Rhinolophus ferrumequinum: one gene and its partners. The protein of the gene in region 3 interacts with the protein of the main gene of each other region in a biochemical or structural test. Links are inferred from orthologs where the notes say so. Each region holds a gene or a part of one and is shown on either strand. Other genes may lie near its edges. The genes, in order: JAM3, CLDN7, TJP1 and CLDN8.

The links.
Region 1: the proteins of TJP1 (region 3) and JAM3 form a complex in vitro, tested with the Homo sapiens proteins (2 studies listed by BioGRID and IntAct, with this or other methods). The link is inferred for Rhinolophus ferrumequinum from reciprocal best matches to the Homo sapiens genes TJP1 and JAM3.
Region 2: the proteins of TJP1 (region 3) and CLDN7 form a complex in vitro, tested with the Homo sapiens proteins (2 studies listed by BioGRID and IntAct, with this or other methods). The link is inferred for Rhinolophus ferrumequinum from reciprocal best matches to the Homo sapiens genes TJP1 and CLDN7.
Region 4: the proteins of TJP1 (region 3) and CLDN8 form a complex in vitro, tested with the Homo sapiens proteins (2 studies listed by BioGRID and IntAct, with this or other methods). The link is inferred for Rhinolophus ferrumequinum from reciprocal best matches to the Homo sapiens genes TJP1 and CLDN8.

The regions. Positions count from the first base shown.
Region 1 is NC_046308.1:34,592,019-34,599,192, reverse strand, and holds the start of JAM3 (junctional adhesion molecule C), read right to left. Parts: upstream 3,015-7,174; 5' UTR 2,961-3,014; coding exon 2,885-2,960; intron 1-2,884. UniProt on the Homo sapiens protein: Junctional adhesion protein that mediates heterotypic cell-cell interactions with its cognate receptor JAM2 to regulate different cellular processes. Plays a role in homing and mobilization of hematopoietic stem and progenitor cells within the bone marrow.
Region 2 is NC_046304.1:11,570,650-11,578,288, forward strand, and holds CLDN7 (claudin-7), read left to right. Parts: upstream 1-4,776; 5' UTR 4,777-5,255; coding exon 5,256-5,478; intron 5,479-6,323; coding exon 6,324-6,488; intron 6,489-6,607; coding exon 6,608-6,692; intron 6,693-6,779; coding exon 6,780-6,942; 3' UTR 6,943-7,139; downstream 7,140-7,639. UniProt on the Homo sapiens protein: Plays a major role in tight junction-specific obliteration of the intercellular space.
Region 3 is NC_046311.1:13,164,329-13,171,426, reverse strand, and holds the start of TJP1 (tight junction protein ZO-1), read right to left. Parts: upstream 3,003-7,098; 5' UTR 2,964-3,002; coding exon 2,791-2,963; intron 1-2,790. UniProt on the Homo sapiens protein: TJP1, TJP2, and TJP3 are closely related scaffolding proteins that link tight junction (TJ) transmembrane proteins such as claudins, junctional adhesion molecules, and occludin to the actin cytoskeleton.
Region 4 is NC_046285.1:96,770,995-96,778,450, forward strand, and holds the start of CLDN8 (claudin-8), read right to left. Parts: upstream 2,880-7,456; 5' UTR 2,686-2,879; coding exon 2,008-2,685; 3' UTR 1-2,007.

The DNA of each region.
Region 1 (7,174 bases), on a different chromosome or scaffold from region 3:
TCTCTAACAGCTGCTAGTTGAATGTACTAAATCCATAGCTTCTTCAGTTACATTATGTGGCCATCTCAGAAATACAAATAATACAAAAATAATACAAATCTGTTTTTTTAACAAAAGAACTGATTTAAGCCTACTCCATTGGCCTGCCTTAAGAGCAAGTTGCACAGAGCTTAGGGATTGGGTGTATTATTTTGTCTGGATGTAATACAGCAATTTCTTATGATTAAGTATCTCTAATAGCTATCCATTCAGTCTCCCTAGTCTAAAGCATTCACGAACAAATGCCTATCAACAACTCATCTGGGAATGAACAGCTGATTTGAGGCACTGCGTGCTTCAGGGCAGGTGTTCCTTGTTTTACTGAAAATACGCAGCTCTGGTCATGATTATATCTATCAGATAGTTTAAAAGAAAACAACATAAAAGAATAAGTCACAAAAACAAAAAAGTTTCAAGAGACAAAACAAATGCAAATGGAAAACTTAAAATATTTTTCAGAAATGTCCTGAAATTTTTGATTTTCAGATTTTGTTAGGCTTCAGCACATTTTGTTATCCCAAGAATACAAACTGTTACTGTTTTTTTAATTCTAAATGAAGCACTTCTTTCTAGGACATCAAAAGATTTGAAAGTCCAACAGTAATTACTACATAATCATTCATAAAAGACATGATGTGGCATAACATTTGTAAAGTTGAATTGCACCTGTCATCAACTCAACAAAAGAATATTTTATATACAAACCACACAGCTTTGAATATTTGATAATTTGATTAAACTGATCCATAAGAACTCCACTGTCAAATTGAGTAATACAAGTAACCAAAACTTGGATTAAAACACATGGTTGAAGATTTCCAAATAAATCACCCTGAGCAAGTTACTGAATCTTTCTGTACTTCTGTTTCTTCGTCCACAAAATGGGAAAAACAATAGTAACGACCTCTTAGAGTAATATCAAATGAATTAATACATGTTAAATTCTTATAATAGAGCCTGGCAAAGGGTAACTGATAAAGAATGTTTGTATTATACTGGAAACCAAAAATATTTAAATGAGAATACTGAAAAACAATAACAATTAAAAAGAGTAATCATAAAAATAAAAAAAGACACAGCTGTCATGACCCGTAGAATAATAAAGTTTCAAGCTATTACAGTATATTTGGGGTGTAAACTAATGGAAAAAGAGTCCCCTACTTTTTAAAAAACATAGTTACATCCTTTCAAGGTGAATTAATACATCCTACCACCTTGATTCTTTGTCACTGGTCCTATTTTGCAAAATGTGATTCTTCCTCCTTAGTTTCAAGAAAGCCACAAAGCAAGCCCCTCCAGGAGAGCAAAATAAGAGGTTATGGGTATGTGAAGTCCTTAGCATATTCTAGTTTTATTAACAAACCACCAAGTTGAAACTCATTCCTGAACTAAACTGCCAAATGTTCCTGCAATAAAAACTGCAAACTTTCATGTGAACAGACCTCTTCAACAATAGGGAGTTGTTCCAGTCTGTGAATAGGACAGTGTCAGTGTGACCAACAAAGCCGGGAGCTGGACATTCCTGACACCCTCGTCCCCTTGGCTAGTCTTTGACCACTTATATCAGTCAACCACATGTTTTTGGAAATCATTTTCAGGCAGAGTATGTAGACAACATCTATACCCTGAAACTTATTATTCATCACAGAGCCGTTTCCACAGCTTCTGTCCCGGGCCCTCAGCTTTACTGCCACCATCATGGACACTCTGGTGAATGAGCAGGAGCGTTCAGTTTCCCTGGTCCTTCCACCCCCCACTCCAAACAGTCACTTCGTGTTTTAATTGGTATATTCTGGAAAACATCAAGGGATGACAATGGCAAATAAGCCAAACAATAAAATAACCTGAAAAATGGGGGGAAAAAAAGACCTGATTTGGTGACACGCAGATCGCCAATAGGGAAGGAAAAGTGTGGTGCAGTGCTTTAGGTCAGCATGCGTTTGAGTCTTCACTACTTATCTGGAATGCACCCTTGGAAAAGAGACTGGACTTAGGTCTTAGTTTTCTTATCTGAAAATGGGTTAATAAAACCCACATCACAAAGTTGCTGTAAGGACTTAAATAAAATAATGATTTCAAAGTGTCCATCCAGTATACAGTATGTGCTCACTTAACAGAAACTATTTTAACCCTTCTATCCAACTGTCCCGGGACACACGAATCTAATGAGAATTCCGGACAGTGGAAAAGACAAATCAAAACTCCCAATTGTATCATGTTCTGATCAAAATGGCCCAGATGCTATTTCCAGGGTAAGTATGGGTCTGCAGGATCTACTAGGCCGCGCTGGAGACAAATTCAAAAAGTACTTGACTGAGATCTGTGCCATTTTATTTTTCCTCGAAAGTAAAGCTCAGTTTGCCCAATTCAGTCCCTTTGTTTACAACAAGGAACAAATGAACAGCAGATCCCCAGAGGGTTGTCACAAAGATGCCAGACAGGCCTCGGAACTGAACCTCGTTGGTCCTTCGAAAGGCCTTTCACTGTCCACTTCTGGGCACAGCGCTCGCTCCACAGTGTCTTCAAGCAAGTTCCCGAGTCCACGCCAGAGCTGGCACTGTCTTTTCAGAAGGCGGTGCCCACCGCCCGGGTCGAACTCATCGCCCGCAGCGAAACTGCCCGAAACTCCGAAGGGCCCCCCAACTTGCTCGGACCCCGCCGGGAGGCCGGGATCCGACTCCTCTCCGGGGGACGCGGGCGCCCGCCGCTCCTCCCGACGAGCCCCGGGAGCCCCAGGGGCCGGGACCGCTATTCCCGCCTATACGAGTTCCATCTGCTTCGGGCCCGCTCTGCTCCCATCGCCCCCAGATCATACTCTCCAAAAGGTAGAAACTCGCATACTCACCCCTGAAAAGCAGCAGCAGGACGAAGTCGGGCAGCCGGGCGCAGAGCCGGAGTCCCCACCGCCGCTTCAGCGCCATGTCGAGGGGAGCTGAGGGGCCGCGGAGCAGCGGCACAGCCAGGATTCCCGCGCGCATGCGCGCAGCCTGCCGGGACCCTGCTACCCGCCCCTAGTTACCATGGCAACCACCTGGCCCGGCAGAGCCGTCACCCTGGTGACAAAAGAAGCTGATACGGTTACTATGGATACAGGGATGCCTTGGACCCAGGCCCACCGAGTGGGTCTCTTTCAATGAATTCGGTGGGAGAAGGTAAAGAAGCATGTTTAAGAGTGAAGTGGGGTAAATTTCCATAGCTATAAAATGAATATGTCACTACAGACCAGAGAAGGACGCTTAATTAAAATTTGGAAAATAAAGTGTTTCTTATTTTACAAATGACGATGCAGCCCAGTTATTTTGGAAGCATTATTGTCTGCACCTCTTTTGAGACCCCGATACCAAATGTGATGGAAGGAAAAAGCACTGAAATCTATATAAAACATGAGAAACACACACATTATGCAGTACATAAAAGTGACATCTTTCTAAAACAAAATTTATTTCCGTGATAGGTCAAAAGCATGATGGTATACCCAATAGTTTATTCTGCATAAAATTAGGCTAATTAGTTGATCTGGTAAAGCTAGTGTTGTGCAGGGGACACTGCTCAATGTGCCATTTGTCGTGCAAGGCAGCCTGCGGGGTCTAGCTCCTGCTCCCCACAAAAGAATGCAGGATATGGCTAGGCCAAAAAGGAACACCCATGGAACCATAGATAGGGGAGTCATACCACTATCGTCTCACTGGCAGCACTATAGTCTCACTGGAGGCTGGAGCCACACGACCTCCAACCTGCTGTCCACTTCTCTGTCTGCCAACCAACCGACTGACTAACCAACGCAGCCGTGGCAGTTATATCAGTGGCTAATTGTCTAACTGGTTACAGCTGACGGTCAATTAGCCACAGCTGATGGCCATCTACTACCCGGGTCAGCACCTTTCCACATGAGGCCGAGAGCCTGGAAACTGCTCTCTGAGACTCTGTCCCCACACTCCACACCTACAGGGTCTCGCCTCACAATTTACATGGCAAGCATCTTCCGCGAGGGTCCCTGTGTCATATTAGCCTACAGGCACCTATGGATGGAAAGAAACAGTAGTCTTAGGAACCAACAATGGCAAATCCCTTCCATCTGGGAGGATACATGCTAGCTTTTTGTCCTGGGAAAGGAGGGTCACTACCACTGGCACCTTTCCCAGTTTGTGGTACCAGACCTTTATGACAGTGCTTGGGGTCCCTTGGTAGTTTCAACATGTAACAGAACAGGAGACCCCATAATAGGCCATAGTGAGAACACATAGGTTCCCTGCAAAATCATCCTGGTATCGGGACCTCCATATACTACAGTCACTTGCGGTAGCCACTCAGCCACCACCCCTGTCGTCACTTGCAAATCATGAGTCAAACCAGCCCACCATGGGGCCATCAGGCCCAACCACCCACCGACAGCGGGGGCTTTTGACCTGCCAGGGTCAAGTCCATTGCTGCCGTTCCCCTGCTTTCAAGCATGTGGGGGCTGGCAGCAAAATGTTTCCATTTCTGCCATAGCCTGGCTTTAACAGAGTCTCACTTGTGGTAACTTGTAGTTGAATGGGAGCAGCCGTTCGATGTAGCAGAGCTTCTACTGGTGCGGGCCCTCCCTTCCGTGGTCTTTCATTCAGGATTCTCAAGACATCCCATAGATGCGAGGCCCAGTCGCACATTGTAGGAGGGTGTTTTGACACCCGGAGGCCTTGCTTCAAAAGGCCGTTGTAGTGTTCAATGATGCCAGCTGCTTGTGGGTTATGCGGGGTATAAAACAACCATTGTACGTCCATCCTGGCAGCCCAGCGCTGCACTTCTTGTCCCATAAAATGGGTACCCCTGTCACTTTCAGTGACTTGGGTGCACCCATAGAGGGCGCACAGCTGTGTAAGAGCGACCACTGTATGCCGCTGATCTGCAGCTGGACACGGCCAAGCAAACATCAACCCCGTAGCAGTGTCCACTGCTGTGAATGCATACATAGCATTGCGGGCCTTAGGTAGGGGTCCAATGTAATCCACTTGCCAGCGAGTGAGGGTCACCCTCCCTCGCGTAATCTGCTGTGTCTCCCAGGGGAGCCTCCGCCTTTGGGGGCTGTCCTGGGCACAGATGGCACAATCATAGCAGGCATCTGCTATCTCTGCTATCTCCTGTCATTTCAAAGGCAGACCCCAGCATCTGCTCACCTGCCACATGGTTCAGCTTGCGGCGTGCTGCAATTTCCTATGCAGCCAATGGGCCACATCAGTGGCAGGAGCCCGTTCTAACCATCAGACCCGTGCTAGGGCATCTGCTTCATCATTACCTGGGGACACTAAGGGGGAGTGACCTGTGACATGCATTAGGGTCACCTCCTTTCTCTGCCCTAGGTCCCAGAGGTCCTGCCATATGGCTTGACCCCACAGTGGACGGTGTCCTACCAACCAGTTTTGCTGTTTTCATGTGGGGAACCACAACGTTGGGCCCCGGAACACCGCCCAGCTGTCAGTGCAAATAACTAGGGGCCCAGATTCATGGCTGATTACCATCCACACAGCCCGTAATTCAGCCCACTGGCTACTCTGGCCCATCCCAGTATCAAACCAAATGGTGTCTGTTTTGGGCTGCACACCATCAGCCGTCCAAACGGCTGCAGCTCCTCAGCTAGAACCATCGGCAAACCAGGCATCTTCAGGTACTGGGGGAGTCCTTCTTTGTAGGTCGAGGGCTACAAGTCCTCCTCCCTAGGCAGAGCGCTTGGCTCAGCCTGGGCTACAAGCTCCACAGGCCCTAGGACCTGCTGTAGCTCTGTCCTCAAAGGGCTGGACTAAGGGTGCTACGTTGCTCCAAGTAGGCACCCCACTTGGCGAGGGTGGTGGTCTGTGCCATCCCCGTTTTGGGTCCCTGGGTCCACATACGGACCCACTCCAGGGCGGGATAGGTTGTTCGAACCAACACGCATGCCATTCCTGTGATGGCTTCTCTGGCCATTAGGGGCAGCCAGCTCTTTCTCTATTAGAGAGTAGCGGACTTCCCGCTCCTTTCCAAAATAGGGACAAAAATCCCACTGGCAACTGGAGATGCTCCTGCCATTACCAGAGGCCCCAACCGTGCCCCTCTTGAGTTACATGAACATCAAGTTCAAATGGGCAGCCAGGGTCTACTATTTGCAGGGCCTGTACCTGCTGCACGGCCCATTTCGTGGCAACAAAGCCTTGCTCTATAGCTTATGTCCAATCCCATGAGGCCCCTTTTTTTATCATGTTATACAAGGGCCTTGCCATTTGTGCTAAATGGAGTACAGACACCCTCCAATATCCCAGCAGACCTGCAGTTGGGAGACCTTAGTCGGCCGGGAAGAGGCTTGTATTTTGTCAATAATCGCCTCAGGCATGACCTTTGTCTTACCCAACCATACAACACCCAAAAACTTGACGGATAAGCCAGGGCCTTGGACCTTTTTCTCATTCACCACCCAGCCACGTGACTTCAGGTGGTGGAGAAGAGAGAGAGCTGCTTGCTCTAAATCTGAAAGAGAATCAGATGTTAATAAAATGTCATCAACATAGTGAAACAAGGCCACAGAGGACAGGTGATCCCACTGTGCCAAATCCTGGGCTACGAGCCCGTGGCAGATAGTGGGGCTATGCAAGTATCCCTGTGGATGGACTTGAAAAGTCCACTGCCGCCCGTCCCAAGTAAAAGAAAACTGCTCTTGACACTCGGGTGCAATGTCAATGGAGATAAAAGCATTGGCCAAGTCCAGTACATAATGATATGTTCCCAGGCAGACAGTCAGACAATCCATCAAATTGTGTACTGAAGGTACTGCCGCATGCAAATGTGGTGTCACCTTATTTAACTCCCGATAGTCCACAGTCATTCGCCAAGTCCCATCTGGCTTCTTGACAGGCCATATTGGGGAGTTAAAGGGACTGTGTGTTGGCTTCACAATATGTGACTTCTCCAATTCCAATATTGTACGACCAATCTCCTCCTGCCCTCCTGGCAGGCGGTACTGTCGCACTGTAACCACGCGCCAGGGCTGTGGCAACACTTGAGGATGGTGAGTATGCCCGTGTGTCACCGCTTTCACCACCCGGATCCGGAGACGGAATTCTCCTACCGACATCTGTAAGCTGAGGCCATGTAGCATGTCCACCCCTAAAATATACTGCGGACTGGGGGA
Region 2 (7,639 bases), on a different chromosome or scaffold from region 3:
CCTCCAGGACTTTGCCAAGCAAAAGGGGTAACAGTGAACATCTTTGTACTTTCCCCCATCATAAAAGAGATGAGTCTAAAATTTTTTCATTAAACATAAGAATTTCCTTTCTAATCTTTGTTTGCTAGAAGTTCTTATCATAAGTCAGTGTTTAACCTTATCGAATGCTTTTTAAAATTACTGATTGAGGTAACCATATAATTTTTTTCTTTAGTCTATTAATGTGGTAAATTACATTGATGAATTTTCTAATATCGGAACACTTGCATCCCTGGGATAAACTCCTTGTTTGTGATGTAGTACTCTTTAAATACACTTTTACTTTTGGTTAAGTAATACTCTACTAAGAATTTTTGTATGTATACATATTTATAGATGAAATTGTCCTCTAATATTTTTCTCGTACTATCTTTAACTGTTTTCAGAGGTAAGATTACCCTAGCTTCATAAAATGAGCTGGTCGCTTTCCCACTCCTTCTCCAGATCTGTATCTCAAATATGCACTCCAGGCTGAACCATAGGTGATCATCTGGCCTTCCTGTCTTCCTAAGCAGGCAAAATATTATCACTCGTATTTTACAGATGAGACAAGTGAGGCCCAAGAATAAATTTCTATATGAGGTGGAATTAGAACTTGGGATATTTTATTTGCTTTGAGGCTGTAACTTTTTGGTCTGACCAGTAAAATAATAACCAGTGATCAGTATAATAATAGTTTTTGAGTAATATTGCACAATTAAAATAATATTGCAAGTTTCCAAAGTTCATTTATTTGTTTATCACACTTTCCCATAGAAACAAACAAGTTGGTTGGGTTCCCATACCAAGTTGATTACATCATTATATTGCCTGTCATCTCCATGCTATGGTGTATATCCCCTAATCTGACCCAATCTTCCACCCAGACTTGATCTTTCAAATTCTTCCCCTATGACCTTTGGACTCAATGTCTGTCATCATCCTTAAAGGCACAGACTCTTCTCTGAATGTTTTCTTCCTAGAATTTAACTGAAACCTGGCTGTCTTGGAGAACACACTTCCCTGGCAGCCCTCATAACAGAGGATTACTGCAAGTCTCATTTTCTTTTCTTTTTTAAAAAAATCCCAGTTCTTTCTTTTTTCTTTTTAACTTTTATTTATTTAAGTGTGTTTTTCCAGGACCCATCAGCTCCAAATCATGTAGTTGTTTCAATCTAGTTGAGGAGGGCGCAGCTCACAGTGGCCCATGTGGGGATCGAACCGCAACCTTGGTGTTATTAGCACTACACTCTAACCAACTGAGCTAACTGGCCACCCCCAGCTCTCATTTCTTATACCTCAGAGTCTGGAGCTGGGAGTATTGCTCCCCAATTGTATTGCTGCTTCTAGATCATTATTTTCCTTCATACTTCAAAATTCTCTGCTCCTTTGCAATTCACGTCTAGAAGTGTATCACTCACCACCTCTAATTGTTACCAGGGTCTTCCAGCCTATTCATTCACTGGTAACATCCAGCCCACATTCACTGATAACATTAGCACCTGGCTCATCCTCTTCTTCTTTACACCTATGTGCCTGTCATCATGGTTGTCAACTTCAAAATCCATCAGGGTACTCCATCTAATTGTAGCCTCAGCCCTCAATCTCATCTCCAGTGATGTTTCTCTACAGCCCATCTCTAGGCTTTGTCATCTCCAAAAACAGTTGCTTCCAATGTATTGAACTCAAGCCTCCCACGTCTGATGATCACCTCCTAATCTTCTAGCTCATTCACTCATGTATTCCTTTCATTTCATGGAGACCTCTAAACCATTGACCTTATCAGTTTTTCACTATCCACCAACATTTTTTTATGTTTACTCTCCTTATCCAATTTATATCCATGATTTGACACATATAACACTCTTAAGCAGATACCTTAAGTCCCTTCTCTTTCTTTTTAGTAACCAACTCTGGTTAATTCCAACCATCCATCTGCTTGCTTCTTGCACTCAACTGTTTTTTGTTTTTTTTTGATTGTCACACTGGGGTTCAGGGGAAGGTTCTAGGGAGTGTTCTACTGGTAGCCAATCAGTAAAAGTCAAGGATGCTAAATATCCTATAATGCACAGGACCATCACCCATATGAAAGAATTATCTGGCCCCAAATTCAATAGTGTGAGGTTAAGAGATCCTGCTTTAAATTAATACTACAAGTTTCAAAGGAACAATTGACACAGGGTCTTAGCACTTGCTGTTTCCTCTGGCTATAACATTGTTCTTTCACTATTTAATAGTCGCTTCCTAGAAAGGTCTCCCTGACTTCACTCTAAAATGGGCCCAACCTCATCACATTACCCTGTTTTATTGCATTCAAAACATGCACCATTTCATTTATGTCTTTATTATCTGCTTCCTCTTTCTAGAATCTGTTACATGAGTCCAGTGTCTTTATCTGTCTTGTTTACAGCTGTATCCCCAGTGACAAACTACTACATTATATAGGTACTCAGAAAATATTTGTTGAACAAGTAAATGAAAACATTGTTAATTTGCAAATTCATTCATTCATTCATCAAATATTTATTTGTGATTAAAACCCAGACACATTTCTGCCCTCTTGGAACTTATAGGGCAGTGGGAGACCGATATTGAATAAATAACCACACAAAGTAAACAGTTTCAAACTACGATAAGGGCTTTGAAAGTAAAGTAGCGGTGAGAGCATTCAGCAGGTGATCTGACTCAGTCAGTCTGGGGTGGGGTAGTCAGGCCAGGCTTTCTAAGAGAAGTGATAGTTGAGCTGATAGCTGAAGGATGAGTCAGCTGGGTAGAGGAAGGTGGGCAGAGGGTAAATGGAGAGCATCCAGGCATAGAAAACAGAGTGTGCAAAGACACTTTGGTGGGAAGTAATGTAGTTCGTTTCAGAAACAGAGAACGCCGGTGTGGCTGAAGTACAGAGTATAGTAACCCATGGTATGGCATTTGCCAAATCTAGTGGAGCAAGAGAAGGAAAAGAGTGCCATTGGAAAATATTAAGGATTTTCATAGGAAATGACAAGATCTGTTTGTTTAAAAAAAAGTCCGTTATCAGAAACTGAATATTAGAAGGACAAGCAGGGAAGCTGGGGGATTGGTTTGGAGGTAGTTGCAGTGTCTAGGCAAGAGGTGTTGTTGGCTTGGCCTGAGGCGGTGGCAGTGAGCTTGGAGAAAAATTAGATATACTTAAGTAATGAGAAACATGGAATTTTAGAGCTGGAAAATACCTTTAAAAAGCACCATTAATCAAAAAGTAGAAAAATAAAAATGAATAAAAGACATTAAAGTCTGCATTTTATAGAAAAGCAGACTAATTAGCTTGGTATGAGGGGCTCTTTAATATGTTTATTAACTAAAAGAGGGAAAGATCTACAAAGAAATATTTGAGAGGGAGGAACGAAGATGGGAAATGCAAGAGATGAGGTAAAAGAAACAGAGAGGAATGAAATGAGAGAGACAAAGTAATAAAGGTGTGCCAGTCCGAGAGTTGTGAGGTGAGAGAGGAGTTAGACTGGGAGACATCTGGGCAGGGAGATGCAAAGAAAGACTAACTGGTGGTGCTGGACTCCAGGAGGGCTGCGGATAGGGTACAAAGGTTGACTAAAAGAAAGGGGAGTGAAATAGGAAGTGGAAAAGGCAGGAAGGGGGCCATGATAAAAGATGAGGGAGGAATGAGTGAATGGGGATGTTGGGAAGAGATATCCAGAGGAAAGATGGGGCAATAGTTTGGGAAGAACGAGAGAAGAAACCTAAGGGTGAGCTGGGAGCTGAATCTGAGGGCTGAATCAAAGGTCACATTAGAACCACATATTGGTTCTAATGTGGCAGAACGGGAGAGGATGGAAGAGCTCACACAAATAGGCAGGTCGTGGCTCAGAATGAAAGAAAGAAATGCTAGCATGGATGGGGGGGAGCGGAGAAGAGGGGAAGGTGAAGGACAAATTTGGAAAGGCTCCAGGGAGGGAGTGAGGCGTGTGGCCAAGACTCAGACGGAGGTGTTACCCTTCTCCCCACTCTCAGCTGGCGTCTGGTCATGGTGGTTTTTCCCTTGTTACAATGACCCTTGATGCGGGAGGGGTTAGTGACCACCGGGAAGTGGGGTGCAAAGAGTCCAGGCATTGTCATGTCTGGGATTAGAATGCGGGGCCAAGAAGATGGGGCCCATGCATGGAAGCCGGGTGTCTGTTGGAGAGCAGGGTAGAAGAGCGAAGGACAGCGGCCAGGGGCGGGGGCATGCTGGAGAGGTGCCTCTGGGAGTTCTGAGGGCTTGGAGCCAGGGCCCCTGAAGGTGGGATCCACTAGGATCCGAGACTGAAGGAAAAGGAGAAGAAAGAGCAGAAGGTGGGGGAAAAGTAGGGCGGAACAAAGAGCGCCTGGAGTAGAAGCCTAGGGTCCCTTCGGGGAGGAAAGGCAGAGCAAAGACTGGCCGGGGTCGTCCTCTACACTCTGGCTCCGCAGCGTCGCTGGCGCATCTGTTGGGGAGTGGGGAAGGGGCATCCTGGTGCCCGAGCGAAGTCCGGTTCAGAGGAGCCGACTTTGAGCGTGGGACTTCCAAGAAGCTTCCGCCTCCTCCCCACCTGCGGTCAAAGCCGGGCAAGTGAAGGGGCGTGACCCTGGTGCTCAGGTTTCTTCCTCATTACCTGGGCAAGGAGGGGTGGGGGCCGGGACTTCCGGCCTAGGTAAGTGTCCCTTCGGTGACGTCAGGTCACTCTCGGCAGCCCCTCCGGTCCCGCCCCCCCCCCGCGCTCCGGGTGCCCGCGGGGACGCGCCCCCGACGCCCTACATATACTCAGGTGCGCCGCACCTGTCCGCTCGCACCTGCCGGCTCACGGCTGAGGTTTCTGGCACAACCTCTCCCTCGCACCGCCTCTCTCACACAGCAGCCTCCGGCCGACAGCCCCGGGTACTTTGGAGACTTCCAGCACCCAGGACCGCGCCTGTACGGCCCCTCCACCTTTTGTTTGGGTAGGGTCGCGGAGAGCACCAGTAGGAAACACCTGGCCTTCGCAGATCGCCTTTGTTGACCAGCAGTTCTCCGGTCGTAACCTGTTCCCTCTACTGAGACCTTTGCACCGCCAGAGGGGCGATTTGTGTTTACTTCGGGTGATCAGATATTTGCAGTCACTGGATCAAAATTTTTTTGACTTTTCGGGCGACTTATAACTCCAACTTGTCTTTTGTGGGGTTGCCCTTCAAGGTTTGTTTGTTTTACTGCAGAGGCGCCCGCCCGGCGCCCCCGGTCTTTTCTGAGGGCGGAAATGGCCAATTCGGGCCTGCAACTGCTGGGCTTTTCCATGGCCCTGATGGGCTGGGTGGGCCTGGTGGCGTGCACAGCCATCCCGCAGTGGCAGATGAGCTCGTACGCGGGCGACAACATCATCACGGCCCAGGCCATGTACAAGGGTCTGTGGATGGACTGCGTCACGCAGAGCACCGGCATGATGAGCTGCAAGATGTACGACTCGGTGCTCGCCCTGCCGGGTAAGACCGCGGGACCGACGGGGCGGACGCGCCCAGGGCCGAGGTCAAGGGGTGGGGTGTCGGTCAGGCCCCGCTGACCGACGCCCTTGGTTGCCTGGGAGTCGCTGGAGAGAGGAGGGAGCGGAAGCCGTGGGGATGGGGCCGTGGTGCCGGCCAGAGCGGACTGGGGTTCCGGCGGCTGCACGTGGGCCCGCCACCCCCCCACCCCCCCGGTCGGGTGCCCCTCTTCCGCCCCAACTTCTCTCGTAGAGGCCAGGTCCTGGGCCGGGGTCCTCCCTCCCTCACCGCCCTGGGCAGGCAACGGCCTCCGCCGCTCCCGCCCTTTTCTCTCCGACAAAGGGTGGCGCAGGGCCGAGGCCGCAGGGTCGGGCCGAGGGCGGAAGAGCCGTACGCTCCGTCAGACTTGGGCCGCCGCCTGCGGCCTCTAATCTTATCGGCCGATTAGCCGAAGCCACAAAACCAATGGCCTCGATAGTGGGGTCAGAACTAGGACGCGGGCCGTCATCTTTGGTCCGCGCGAGGTCTCCGGAGAGGCCGTTGCCTCCGGTCCTATTAGCTGTCCCCTTTCACCCTTCCCCCTACTCGGGGCAGTTTCATCGAAACCTGGGCGCCCCGGGCGGGTACTAGAGAAGAGAGGGCGGGGCGGAGCTGGAAGGCCGCGGCGTCGGGAGGGTACGGGATCCACTCTACTTCCGCCCGGGACTTGGACACCGAGAGGCCCCCAGGCTGGCGACGGGGTCCAGCGGCCATTGGTTAGTGGGCACTGTGGGCGGTTCGAAGGCTCGAACGGTCCGAGAGCCGCCTGCACTCCTAGCGATGACGGCGTCCTTGCCCCTTCCCTGCAGCGGCCATTCAGGCCACTCGAGCTCTAATGGTGGTATCCCTGGTGCTCGGCTTCCTGGCCATGTTCGTGGCCACGATAGGCATGAAGTGTACACGCTGTGGAGGAGACGACAAAGTGAAGAAGGCCCGTATAGCCATGACTGGAGGCATCATTTTCATCGTGGCAGGTAAGTCACAGGTCCAAGATGGGCTCAAGGGCTCTCCTGTCTCCCATCCTGGAGGAATGATGGTGGGCAAGGTGCTGGTTTGGGGGCTCATAATATCTGAATCCTCATTCTCTCTCCAGGTCTGGCTGCCTTGATAGCTTGCTCCTGGTATGGCCACAAGATCGTCACAGACTTTTATAACCCTTTGGTCCCCATGAACATTAAGTGAGTATGGGAGCCCTGCCTCCTAAGGGGTCCTGGGGCTGGGAGAGGCAGGCCAGGGTTTCTGACCCCAATCCCCTCTCTCCACAGGTATGAGTTTGGTCCTGCCATTTTCATTGGCTGGGCAGGGTCTGCTCTGGCCCTCCTGGGAGGTGCACTACTCTCTTGCTCCTGTCCTGGGAACGACAGTAAAGCTGGGTACCGTGCACCCCGCTCCTACCCTAAGCCCAACTCTGCCAAGGAGTATGTGTGAGCTGAGATCCCCTTGCCCCTGCCTGGTAGCCCATGGGTGTGCCCCAACACCTGAAGGGCCCTGGGGCAGAGCCCAGCCTGTGGGCAGGGTGCGGAGCAGAAGCCTTTGGTCACTCCAGTCCTGCACACCATGTACAGTTCCCTGGGGGGTTGGGTGAGGGAGACAAAAAGGGGTGGGTGTGCTTTTTGTACAGTAATAAAAAGTATGTTTTGGAAAAAAGGCTTTTTTTTCTCCTTCAGGGCCTCTCCTTTCTCCCTACCCAGATCCTACAAGAAGCCTGGAGCCTAAAGTATGCCTATTTCAGCTATCCCTGTTCCACCATTTCATTGTCATTCAGGTCCCAACACTTTGACTATTGACTCTAAAAGACTCAGGTGTTTGGTTTCCTCCAGTCCCTTCCACTCCCAATTCTTGCTTAAATGGCTACCAGAGTTTCTTTTTTAATAATAATAAAAAAAGACTTTATTAGGCTTGGAGGAGGGGTTTCCTAGTCTCTCATCTTCCCCTCTGCCCCCACCCCACTTTCTGTCATGAATGGATCTACTCCCTGACTCATGGGTCATAGGGCAGGGCTTCCATAGACACACGGAACAAAGGTGGGGGAGGCACAGGGTAAGACTAGAGGGAATAATGGAAGGATGGTTATGGGCCCAAGGCCTACACACTCCCCCTCCAATTACAGGCTGGTCAAATCTCA
Region 3 (7,098 bases):
CAGGCTCTTAACCAGCACTGATTCAGAACCTGACACTGCAAATGCTCCAGCATTCAAAATTTCTTGGAGAAGACACAAGAGGCTTCCTGCAGGCCCCACAGACGTGGGTCTGGCGGGGGTGGGGAGATGGGTGTTTGCTTCAGTTTCCCCCAAAACTGGTCTGCAACAGAATACTCCTTAAAGGATTTGTGGAGCCATTCAGAAAGACAGAAAGATTTCGCACAAAAGGAAGCTGATGAGCAGAAGTGGCCAAACTGGACGGAAGTGTGGGGTCAAAGCATTGCTTCGTTCAACCCCACCTGGACTCACTGGCGTAAGATTTGCAAGCGTGCAGTATTTACACACAGACTGTGACCATTTAGAGAAAGAAGCACAGAGCGCGTACACCTTTTCATCACCGTTATCATAACCATCTTCATATACGCCACAGCCAATTATCATCACACGCCCTCACATCTTGTCAACGGGCATAAGCTGGTGCGTTCCAAAGTGTGACAGGCATTGCCTGGTGCCCATCCGTCACCCTGGAGTCAGAACCCCTATCTTTCTATCTTTTCGCCATTCAACAGTGCCTTCCATCTCAAATGCCCCCACGTGCAGTTGGCTACGACACTGGCGAAATGAAATGTTATCCAGAAAAACAATTCCAGAGGACGTAAGACATAGATCATTCCGCTCCATGTCGCGGCAGCACGGTACTCTCCAGCTAAAAACAAACGACTGGACATCTCTGTTTAAAAGTCCCGCCCACACCAGAGTTTTTGTAGAGGACGCTCTTCCCTTTGCCACTGTGGAAACCAGATTCACATTTGCAAACAGAATGGATATTCTGAAATGCTCCTTTAAAATGGTGGGAAAGTTCAACCAACTGCTCAGGCCCTTCCCAGGCTGTCTCTTCTTAGGAAGATGAATTTTTAACCCTGGCCCCAGTTCACCGTCTGCCTCAGATGTGAATCTCTAGAGTGCAAAAGTTACCTGGATTGTATTTCCCGGTGTTCTCTCTTCACAAACTCTGTATTGGGGAATGCCTTTTGAGAAGCAGCATGCTGATGATGAAAAAGAATAAAACCTAGTAACTGACGGACTTTGTGATCAATTCCTGCATATACCTGAAGGCTCCTCAAAAGTAAGTCCCACATCTTAGTTTGTAAATTTGACATCAAGAAAACGGATTTCCTTATCTTTCTTTCCCAGTTAGGTATCATTAAGAATTCATGTACTCAACATAGCTGCTGAGAACTATTCCGTAGCAGGTAGTGCAGGGGACTGAGTAATGAATTAAATACACAAAAGCCCTGCCCCCATACAACTTACATTCTAGTGTGGGGAGAGGTGATATATATGAAAATTAAGTCCGATATGTAGTATTAGATATTGATAAGTGCTCTGGAGAAAAGCAGGCTGGGGGTACTACTGTTAGTGCTGACTTTTTTTTCCCTATCCACCGTCAATCTGAAAAGTCATCTTCAAATGTCACTACTTCTGGCTTCACAATGATGACATATTCTTCATATATTTGCTAACATCTTCTTCCATGGACATTTCTTAATTCAGTTACTGCCAACTTTTACCAGTCTAGTCTTCGATGTGGTCACTTGCTGTCCATCAAATTATATTGCCTTTTGCAGAATAAATGTCTTTGTTTAAACAAATGGGGAGGCAGGGAGGAGGACTCTGGTAGTCACTAAGCACCCATTACTCAGCCAGGCACCGGGGCATGCACTTTGTATCCACTCTCTCCGTTCATCTGTGACCCCAGGAGGCAGATAAATAGCACTGTGCTCATTTTACAGAGGAAGAAACAGATACTCCCGTTCACTTGCTTAAGGTCACACAGTAAGTGCCAAGTTGAAATTGGAACTTCGCAGCCCATATTCTTTTGGTCTTACCTCCAAAATTCTCCACTGTTGGGATTCTTTTTTCCTTTAACTCCTCTTTTTCTTGACTGCTCAATCTTGATAGTCCTTGGATAATTCTTTCATTTTTGTCTTATACAGCAGAAATTACTTTTCTCAAACGCCTAAAAGCAGCCTCACTGCCTTCTCCATCACCTTAAAATTAAATTAGACTACCGTTCAATTGAATTGAATGAAACCTCTACGAACTACATTGGCCCTCAATTTTAAAATGGAAACGATCGTTGAATATCAAGATTCCTGGCCTCCTTTTCCCATGGTCACCATCGCTTTACCTGACTATTCCTTTTGTGATAGAACCTTACACCTAAGTCTCCAGTCGAGGGAAGCCTGGGAAGCCACTGGGATTCCATATGACACACTTAGATGCTAATAATATGCAATACAATTGGGCAGAAAATCAACTGTGTGAACCAGCTCTGGGTAAGTCCTGGACATTTTCCTTTAAGGGCATCCTTTTCCCGTTCCCCCAGTAACAGTTTCCAGGGCGGGGGACCCGGAGCCCATGCAGGTGAAATACAGTCCCGATGCCATTGTAACGTCGTAACGCGCCCCTCGCCGTGGGCGCGGCCCGTCCTTCACTGTGCACCCGCGGCAGGAGGGGCCTGGGGGACAACGGGAAACGCGCACGGTGCTCAGAAATGGCTCGCCGTCCCCGCGAAAGCCCGGGGCGGGCGCCCGGCTCCCCGCGGCCCCTCCCTCCCTCCATCCCTCCAGGGAGCGCGCAGCTCGCTCGCTCTGCGTGTCCCCGGGCACAGCCGGGGGTCGCGGCGACGCTCGGCCCCGGGCCCCGACATGGCTGCGGCGCCCCGCGATCTCCGCGCCCGGCGCCCCGGCCCGGCCCCCGGCGCGCCCGCGCCCGCCGCTCCCTCACCACAGCTTCCGCTTGAGCGGCAGGAGGCTGCCGCGGTTGGAGGGGGTGACGCCGATGGCCATCTGCAGCACCGTCAGGTATTTCTGGTACTTCATCTTGTCCCCGCTCCGCTCGCGGGCAGGGCCCCGCCGCCGCCGCCGCCGCCGCAGGCACAGCCTCTCCAAGCGCCGCATAGATCAGCTCTGGGCCATGCGCTCCCGCCGCCGCCGCCGTGCGTGGCCCGGGCTCCCGCTCCCGCCGCCGCCGCCGTGCGTGCCGGCCGCTCCCGCCGCCGCCGCCGCCGTGCGTGGCCCGCCGCTCCCGCCGCCCGCACCGCCCCCTCCATCCCCGCCAGCCGCGGCCCCCGCGGGGCGCACCCGGCGGGCGGCGCAGCCGCCCGACTTTCCCGGCGCCCAATCCCGCGGCGGGCAGGCCGGGCCGCTCCGCCCACCCACCCCCTCGCGCCGCCCGGCCCCGCCGACCTCAGTTTCCTCCCCGGTGACGGGAGCGCATTGACGGGATCCGCTTATACCAGGATCGCAACCACAGGTTTCCAGAGCAGAAAAAAATAATTTTTTACATTTATAATTACCACTGAATGGTTCCTAACCATCATTTGTTTTCTAGCCTAATGTGTTTGGAGATGATGTGTATATAAAATGCATTCTGGTGTGCACACATAATATATAATGTGTGTATATGCGTGTATACATTCATACACATATACACACATGCATACACATATACACATACACACATACACATACACACATATACACATACACATATACACATACGTATACATATACACATATATACCCACATGTATACACACATACACATGTATGTACACACATATATACACGTGTGTGTACATATCTATGATATATAGAGTGCCAAAAAATGTGTACACAATTTAAGAAAGGAAAACTTATTAAAATTGTAATGCTCAATATATACCGATAACAAAAGATGAATACAAGGCACGTTTGACTTCTGCAATGACAAGAGGTGCTCAAAGTGGTTCCCATCAGCGTCCAGACACTTCGGATGATGGTGAACTACCACTTAAGCAACGTTGCCAAAGTGTCCCCTTATATACATTTTTTGGCACCCCTGGTATATATATATCATATATATGTGTGTGTGTATATATATACATATATATAAATATATATGTGTGTGTGTGTGATGCAGTCCTCATTTGCACAGTAGTTTGGGACTGTGGAAATGACCACGAACCATGCAAATAATCAATGGGGAAAAATAAGATTGTTCCGTGACCTTCAAAAAATTTTGTCAAAACATTCCAAACTTTCTTCATTGATGGTTATAAATGTATAGGGAAATGAAAAACATTGTAAAACTAATCACTGAATACAATGTAATTTAAAACATTGAGAATTCAAGTGTTTCATTTCTTTGTAAGGAAAACTTGTCAAGAGTAACTGGAACAGTGTGTGTTTTCTCCTGGTAGAATTGTTACATCTCCAGATAGCATCCTTTCTGTGCCTTGGCAAAGCAAAGTTTGGATCACTGTCAACATTTAACCCCTGCTCTTTCACTATTGTGAATTGTGATGTCTTCTGGGACTCCCTCATCATTTTTGTCACAACCACTTTCCTCACTCAAGTTCACATTCAGTCAGTTCCTCTGACTGCATGTCCACTCTCTGGAAACGTCATGGTAATGTCAACGTTCCCAGTTGCCAATTTTTTTAATAACTCCAATTACATTTCATTCCAATTTCACTGCATTTCCATCTTTATCATTTTTTGTTTGTTTGTTTCTTTGCTGCACTTTCCACCTTTGGTGGCCAGTTTCCTCTTTTAGTTACCTATATAAAAATACAGTGTTTTGTGGGTTTATCCCAGAGAGAGAAAGAGGCAGCACAACTGCACACTTTGCTATCAGTGCCTAAACTAAATAACAGATGCTCAGAGACGAATCACGGACCGGCTTTGAAAGAACTGCTGTGATTGGCCACTGGTCATGATGTGCATGTTATTTATGTAGTGATTTATGGACTAAAGAGCTAGCAGCATGTTCGTACTATATGCATTTGTACTGTATGCATTTACTTACAGGTAATGCCATGATAACTGCAATTTAAATCACATTGTTGGGCAACAGTTATTATTTAACTAAACCATGGTAGCGTACCATCAGGCCTATCTGAACCTGTAAAGCAAAGCCTAATTTTTTATACAGTATCTCCCTTATCTATGGGGGATGTGTTTCAAGACCCCCAGTGGATGCCTGAAATCCCAGATAGTACCAAATCCTATATATACGGGTTTTTTTCTCTACATACCTACCTATGATAAGGTTTAATTTATAAAATTAGGCAATTCCACGGATAGAAGATTCGTTCTTACTATAGATCTTAGCAACCTCAGACTGAAAAGGAGAAATCAGGAAGGCCTGTGTCTTGAGTTGAGATGCTAAGCTTTCTTCTCCCACCCACTTCCAGAATGCTGGCAACCCCAGGCAAGACATTTATATGTCCTCCCTGTGGACCATCAACATTTTTGGTTAACTCCACATATTTATTTATTGTGACTATTTAAACATTGTTTGATACTGACACTAGTGTTGTACCACGATTACACTTTCTCCTACAACTTTTTCTTTTACCTGGAGTTAATTGCCTTATTTTTCAACTTGTTTAATTTTATTAATATCCATGGCTAAGTGTCCTTATGTCTGCAACAATAATGTGAAATGCCTTGCAATATAGTTTCCCATGGACTCAGACTACACACGATCCATCAGTTTCCATTTTTTCCTGGACCCGCCCTCCAGGAGCCCTCCATCCTGCTGCCTCTATTCTAGGCTCACGTTGTCTGAGTATTCTCATTTCTCTCCTATGTTGGGGCCCCTGTATTCTGGACCGCCTAGCTTCTTTCTTGGCTTACTTCCTTGTTTTGATGGATAATCTTTTCTAATAATAAGAATACATGAGACCTAGAGATTATAAGACCTTGCATATCTGAAAAGTCATGATTTTGCCATCATCTTGATTTATTGCTTCTTGAGTATGGAAGTCTAGGTTGCAACTCATTTGACTCAATTTCTAGGTCACTGCTCCTTTGTCTTCTAGTTTCCAAGGTTGCCAATGAGAAACCCAGTGCCCTCTGTGTCCTGAGAGCATTGTTTGCTTGTTGGCGTCCCCCACTCTGGAAGCTTTCAGATCTTCTATTCATCGCCACTGTTCTAACGTCTCACGATGACAAATTGTTATGAAAATGGGAATGTCATGTAGTAGAAGGACGCAGAGGTTCTGGGGAGCCGTGCACGTACCCTTTTCACTTCCTGCATTGGTGGATTTGATGAGAGGCAGGGCCATGAATTCTGGCTCTTGTCAGTTCCAATGTTACATTGTTCAGCTCCCACTGACTGGAAGTAACAGCTGTCATGTTGCTTTAATAGTTTCCTTCCACTAACCTGAGATGAGGAATTTCTTCGCTGGGAAGGCTCTTTGGCAAAACTGATGACATTCTTCAGTTTTGGCCTTTAGTGGTTCTTACATTTGGCTGAATTATGTAAAAAATAGAAAGAAGGAATTATCAGTTATAATTTTCTCCCTCTCAAGGAAACGTACTATTTTCTTCTCTTCTATAGATTGTGATCACTTGTTTTCAAGTTTGCTTAGTTTAAAACCTGCACACCTGACCTTCTTCAGGAAGCTCTCCTAAGACGACGTCTTGTCACCCCGTCCTCTGATCCTTTTCAATTTTTATCTTGCATTACTATTGTAGGTGGTAGACAGTGGCTTGTCTGATCCAGTTTCTTACATACAGTAGCTACTTAGTAAATGTTTGCCTTATGAGTGAACCGATCTTCGATTTATTATGTAATAAACATCCAGAATTTTAGGATGTGTCAATGAGAAATGATGTTGGTGCCGTATCAAGAGCCTGTTATAATGGCTTAATGAAACGATATTTTTTTCCTCTCATGTAGGAAAAAAAGGCGTTCGTCTGCCAGTCTGGGGTTGGTAAGGTGGTTCCACAAAGTCATGAGAGGTCCAGGCACTTTTTAATTTCCGCTCTGCATTCTTTAGCATGTTGTTTCCATCATCAGGGTCACAGCATGGCTGCCAGAGCTCTAGCCAGCTTGTCCACATTTTAGGAAAATAGAAAGGGCAAGACCAAGGGGCCAACAGGCTCCTCTCTCATCCAAGTCAGCCCCCTTTAAAGAGTCTCAGGAAACACCAACCAGAGTTCTACTTAAAGTCACTGACGACCCGCTTCACTGCAAGGAGGCTGGTAAGACAAATTTTTTTTTTTTAGCTTAGCACACTGTGTCTCTGGACAAAAGTTGAGT
Region 4 (7,456 bases), on a different chromosome or scaffold from region 3:
CTCCAAGCTGCTCAGTTAGTTCTCTTTTTTCTGTTCTCATGAATGATTTGACCCCAGAAGGAAAAATTGCCTAGGACAAATTAGCACTTAGCTACAGGAAAATCACCAATCCCAGAAAAAAACACTAATATGTTCCCAACTAACAGTAGCTATGCATGTCATTTCCTTATGCAAAAATCAATTTATAAACCAGACAGTGTTGAAGAAAGTCTACTTTTTCTGAAGAGAAAGAACGTGAGCTATGAAGTCAGAAAGTCCTTATTTTTTGTCCTGACTCTACTGGGTAATCAATGAGCTGTTCCGAGATGCTCTCATCTGTGAATTGAACTAATATCAGTCTCATAAAAGATTTAATGACATAATGCATATAAAACAGTAGAGGTCCTAGCACATAATACATGCCCCACAAACATTCAACATTCTTATTAATTGATATTCCTTCTCAAAGATAGAACTGTATTTAGTGATGGAAAGTTTTTACAGAGATGACTATTACATACATATTTATAGTATATAGATTTGAGACCTATGGTATTATGTTAACAAATTACAAATACATTATCTGCATCAAAAGTTAGTGTATGAATTCAATGATTATAAGGTATAGAATTGTTAAGTGACATAAGGTATTTTATTTTCTCAAAAAGTAATGCCACATCTACCTTTATCTTTCAAATGTGGCCTTGATATTCTTTTCAAAATTAGGTATCCCAAAATATCAGGTTTTCAAAAACTCTTTACAAGTTAATAATAATAAAAAAAGGAGAATAGTGGAAAAATAATATCAAATTACTATAAAAGAAAAATTTATTGATACAAAGGACATAAAGCTGATAACATACATAGTCACTTAAACTGGAAAAATGTAGATAATAAACTTTCAAATGGGATGATCAAGTGTATCAAATTTGGGGGAAACACAAACATATTGTATTTCTATACCTTAGTAAAACTGAACAAAAATGGAATAAGAAATTTATCTTGACAACTGAAAAGACAAGTTTGACTTAGGAATCCACATAGGAGAAGATGGAGTTCATAAAGCACAACTTGTTTTTATTTTTTGGACAGCAAAAAACATAATACATTACTTTTCTGTCCAATATAATACATTACTTATTTATATTGATAAAATCCCGAAGTCTTTAAGTAGTTATTAAAATATTCACACACATATAGGATTTCTTGTCAAAATGTATCTTTCTCCAACCACAAAAATTGAAGAGGAAAAATATTTTTCACTTTCCTGAAGTCTTTCATGTTTACATAGATCGCAGTTTTCTCTTTCCTCTTAGCACACCTCTGGAAAGCTGATTGAATGCAAAGCTCCTTAACAAAATATCTGCCTTTTAAAAGATGTTAATTTAATATACAAGAAAAAGAAAGCCTCTAGGGGAAAAGCATAAAGAAGCTAGGAAAACAGGATATCAGAAAGCCATTTAGTTTCCTTTATACAGTTGATTAAAGCCTTCTCTTTAACCTTCATTATAAATCAAGTGCATTAATTGCTAAGCTGGTTTTAAACAATTAATATTAACCGTCCTCACTCTTATCCCCGAGTTCCCCGAAAAGCAATAGTTGAATTCTGTTTATTCAGTGTAATGAATCAGTATTTCATTTAAAATAGAACCATATAAGCCTGTCTCTATTTATGTGAGATATAAACGTCACTCTCATCTACATACAGAATGCTATGTCATAGAGAAATCACAGTTGTAAAATAATAGTCATTAACAATGTCATTTTGAAGTAACTGATAAAAGGGAAAGATGTATGAACCATTTTAGAAAACTGACTGCACTTCCTAAAACCATCAGAGCACTGTGTATCTCATTATTCTGCTGAAATAGCTTATAGAATCATAAATAGCTGATGCACAGTTCCTGTAATTAATGTTCTGCAGTTAAGAACGGCAAGTCAACGTTCCTTTGGGTTCCATTTTTAGAAAATAGTGGATATTTTAGTCATTTGCATGGCTTTATAGGTAAAGTTAAAACATATACACAACTACACATACTGACTTTTGGAGTACACACTTGGTGACTTCTTTTCCATGTGATAGCTCTTTGGGGTTGTGCGATGAGAAGGTACGGAGTATCTATAGCTACTGCTCTTTTCATTGCCACAAGAAGCACAGCAGAATATTGCCCCTCCAGCCAACAGCACCAGTGCCGTGATCCAGCCTAGGTAGAGGGCTTCTCCAAGCTCACGTTTTTGGCCGTTATCCACTATTGGGTTGTAGAAGTCTCTGATGATGGAATTGGCAACCCAGCTCACAGGGATGAGCACCACCAGGCTGGTGATAACGAACATGATTCCAGCAGTGAGCAGGATATGACCCTTCGCCTTGTTGTCGTCCCCAGTGCATCTGGTGCATTTCATGCCCAGGATGGCCGTCATGAAAGCCAGGAAGGACAGCAAGGAAGCAGCACACATGAGTCCTCTGGATGCCTGTAAGTCCGGAGAGAGAGCCAGCAGGGAATCATAAATTTTGCACTGCATTCTGATGTTAGCTTGCCTTATGCAATTCATCCACAGTCCTTCCCAGATGTTTTCAAAGACCACAATGTTGCTTCCAATGAAGGCAGACACTCTCCATTGAGGCATGATGGTGACAGCCACTGTGCCCACCATGCCAGCACCACCAAGCACCAGCGCAGCGTATTGCAGAGCAGAGGTAGCCATTATCCTCTGCTATGGGTTTGACCGACTGGACTCCTGAGGTAGTAGGGCTGCTCTGAAGCAAGGTGCTCTGTGTCCCAGGAGAGAAGAGCTTTCCTCTAGCAATGAACTCAGAACCCAGTGGTTTTTCAAATAAGAACAGCTTTGCTACTTCCAGCTAGATTAAATCCAGTGTTGGCTGGCTGAGCCCCCCTCCCTGTTCCCCCCACATTAACAGGTAAACTTACAAATCAGGTGGGGCAAGTTTCTTGGCCAATAAGAGGGGGATGGTAACCAGGTGTGTCTAAACCGACAAGAGATACTTGGAACGGCTGGACTGGCACATAAACATTCTTTGTACTTCTCAGTGTTCTAAGAAGACAGCAGTATGTTTACCTATAGGCATAATTAGGAATGTTTGCACAATCATCAAAAAATGCACCAATCCCTTGTCACATGAAAAGGTACACCGTGTACAGGCAATTCTGTAACTGAGTAAGAGCTGCTGTGACAAAGGTATAAAATAAAATGTCAGCCTAAGAAATTGGCTAGGACTTGTCAACATGCCAGAGTGAAAGAAGAGTAGGGGATTGATAGATTTCTCATACCTGGGGAACCACATTCTTTGGGACACATGGGATCCAAGAGGGTGATTTAATTTGCCTACAACTTCAAAGCAGGCTCTGCTGGGATAAAATCAGGGAACAGACCATGCTGAAGGATGAAATGAGGCTCAAGTAATTAAATACATAAGTTGTCCCTTCATGGCACCAAGCACATATCGTTTTCTTTTGAGCCAGGAAAACGACCTATTGGAATTTGAACCTTGATTTACAAGGGGGAAAAAAAAAACACTGTATAAGAAAAAAATACCTATTGGAATTTGAATCCTGATTTATGAGGAAAAAAAATTGTAAAGACAACCAAAAAAAGAATCTATTTGATCTTATGTAGCAAACACTGCAATAGCAATTAAATGATGAAGTGATTTACAGATCGCTGGTTTATTGTTGCTTTATGTTTGCTGCTCTGTCCTATTGGACTGAAGCAACTAGAAACCTGCAGATGATACCAGTCCTGGATCCATACAAATGGCTGATATTTCTAAACAAAATTTTTATAAGACGAGGTCACTATAATGATTGAACGAAACGTGTCTTCAATACCATGTCTGCAAAAGGAATTAGAAGCCCCTGAATGTAGGGCAGTTTGAACTGTTCCTTCTCAAAATAATGATGATTTAACAGTCACTAAAATAAACATACATGTTGATATGAGAAAAATCCGCCAGCGATGATCTCGTGAAGATCACCTTGAGCTCTCTGTCATGTCTTTCCAAGCTTCAAGCTGTACTTTAATGCTTTTCCTGTTTGTATCATAAAAAAATATAATTTCTTTACAATTTTACTTCTCTGCTTCCTCGTACTACCTTAAATGTGAGTACGGGAGAAAGTGTTTCCCCCTCACTTATTAAACTTTGAAAGTGTAATGGTCCAAAAAATCTGAGTATTTTACAGAGATTATGGAAACAAAAATGGTGGTAGGGAGCGGAAGAGGAAGATGCCAAAATCAACTGTCTTCTAAAAACATAAAAAAGGAATATATAGTCGTTTAAGTTGTTATTATTTTATTTTAGTAGACTGGACATGTTGAAAGTAAGAAAGGAAAATTTAAAGCTTGATATTTACAGTAATTTTCTCATTTGTTGACCTGTTAAGGACTAATTTGCAGTGTGTCCCTTATGCTGACAGAAAGTATCTAGCATTTTCTCCTTCAGGCTTTGAGATGCAGAGGGAGATAGGTTAATCTTGGGAAAACTCACCTACAACCCACAAAAGGAAAGTTGAAATCAAATCAGCAGATTTTTTTTTTCAATCTTTCATTTTCAGTCTAGGAAAGGGGCATGATGGACAGAATTGGAAAATGAAAAAGAAATTATATAATTATTGATATAATGACAGACCAGAAAAAAAATTTTTTTTTGGTAATCAAATCAAAATTTATTTTCTAAATTTGTGTGTGATGTATTTTTTAGACACCGTGTTTTAAATTGCTAAACATCCAGATAAAAATGGAAAAACTTGAGGTAAATAGGTATCTATATATTTGAGAGCCTGGGAGTGCCTCCCGTGTATGCAGTGATGTATCTGTTTGCTTTTCATGCTACTAAACCTTTCTTCCCTTAAGCACTGAGCTGTACTAGGAACTTATTTCACGCAAAAATATTTTCCTCATTTCAAAAATATTAGTACTTTCCTACTGGAATTGCCCAGCCAAAAGATTAGGATCGGAATGTAAAAAAACAACCCTAAGCTTACAATAAATAATTATCGAGCTAACTGCGCTAGCAGAAACTAACCCAGAGCATCCAGGTATGTTTCTTATTACACAGTGATCCAATTAATCCCATGATAATTTGAAATAATTGTGCCCTAAAGGTCAAGGAAAATGAGAAAGACAGGGGAAAATGGTAATAATAAGTTCACTAGGGACCAAGAGACTTAAACTCCAAGATTAAAAAGTAAAATGAACTGTTTGTCTACTTTTCGATAATATTCTGTCCTACTGAGATGATTAACTTGCCTGCAAAAGTCAGATAGTAGTCATTAGAGAATTTCAGATTAATAACATTTTTGCTGTTCTTTAATTCAGAACTACAAGGCAACCTATACACAGTAGTCTATAATCTGTACATCCACTTCTATGGAAGAACTAAAATATTATCAAGGACCAAGGAAGAAAAGCATGCTCATGTTGACCCACTGTGTTCCCTCTCTGGAGATCTCCCTTTTGTCAACATTATCAGAAGCATGATTTAAGTTTAGCAATTAAATTCAGTCCTGATAACTACATGACACCTGCAAATGTTTTCTCTTTATAAACGATAACACACAATCTCGCTGTCAGACTGCCCTTGTTGTCATTCTTATTTTTACAGCAATTAATCCTTAACCAACAACTCTTTAGTCTGGGGTTCCTATTAATTCTCATCACTCCTTGAAATAATCTTTGCTTCTGCCAATCAAACAATAGTCGCCAGTTTCTATTGTTTTCTGGATTTATTTTTTTCTGTTGTGTTGACAGTTTTCAACCTTATTTATTTTTATTTATTTTTCACTGTCAATTAACTGTATTTGTTTGACCACCTTGTCCAGAGAAAACAGATAAACATATCAATAGATCTCTTTGTTTGTTGTTCCCAAAATAATACTGCGCATCGCTACACGTTCTTGAAATATTGTCCTATTTGTCCGTTGTGCTGACTAGCTGCTCATGTTATCTGTTCCCAAAGGTCTGTATCCATGACCATTAGTAGCCCTCCATATTCACCACCTCATATTTATATTTAATTGCTCTGTTTAAAAATGAACTTCTCCCTGTATAGTAATTGTCTAGCATCTTAGTCAGCTTGAACAACATACTATAGACTGGGTGGCTTAAACAACAGAAATTAGTTTTTCCTAGTTCTGGAGGCTGAAAAGTCTGCGATCAGGGGACCAGATGGTGGAGTTCTGGTGAAAGCGCTCTTCCTTTTCCACAGGGAGCTGTGGCCGTCTTCTTGCTATACCCTCACATGGCAGAGAGGGAGAGGGAGAGAGTTCTATTCTCTTTCTGTTCTTATAAGGACACGAATGCCTTTATGAGGGCTCCACCCTCACAACCTTATCTAAAGTTAATCATCTCCCAGAGGTTCTCCCTCCAAATACCATCACATTGAAAGTTAGGGTTTCGACATATGAATTTGGGAAGACACAACCTGCATCCATAACATCAGCTACTAACTAATCTGCTCAATTAATTTCTCATAATTCTAAAGGGTCTATTCTTATTGTTTCAAGAGTTTCTTCCAGGATCAAAAAGGAGGTGGGGGCTGGGGCAAACCTAAGTAAAGAAAATAGACAATGAGAATAATGATTATTGAAAGGCTTTTATCTTTCTTCTACTTTTCATTGCATTTTTAAAAATTGAAATCTGAGTTGTGGTGAACTCTGACATATTTTGGGAGGCAGGTTCATTGAGTATGGTATATTGGATATCCCCACTAAAGGACTGGAAATACGAGGAAAAGAAGTTTTCATTGAACTATATCCTGGAGGACTTTTTTCTCTAAATTAATAAGTAATTTCTATGGACAAAATTGATAGGAATCAACCTAAATTTAATGCTTTGGGAAAAATTTTTAAAGGAGCTGGAATTTGCTGGTAATAACAATGTCTACTGATTAGTAAATGTTTCTGTGCCACTGGTTCCTTACACGCACATTACACCTTAAATTTAAAACATCCAGAGAAGACCCTTTTTATAATTGAATAAATTAAAACTCAATAGCGAGGGTGCTTTTTCTAAGGCCATACAGCTATTGTTTGCTGGATTCACAGAAATGGAACACAGATTTGTATCTAAAACCCTTGTTCTCTCCTGTATTGTCTACTACGTCCCAAAGAAAGCTGGAGAAAGGGAATTTCTCATGTTGACACATATATTCAAAGTTAATGAAGAAACAGAATTTGTTCAGCACAGTTTTGTTTTCTTCGCTAGCACATTGTTGAAAACTATTTGTGTGGTCAAGCGTTATGACTTTTTAAAAAAATATCTGAGTCACTGATATTTGAAATGCATATTTTTAGATTCTTTATTCAGAGAACTTTCCACTGGAATAACCACATCACAATGATTCTTTATTTAGAGTTTCAGAGAGTAGTCAATCTGATGTCACTATTGGCATACCTTTCTTGTCAATCTCCCATTCTTGTCTTCATGTTGATAGTTTGTTAATTATAGACTAGGTCACGGT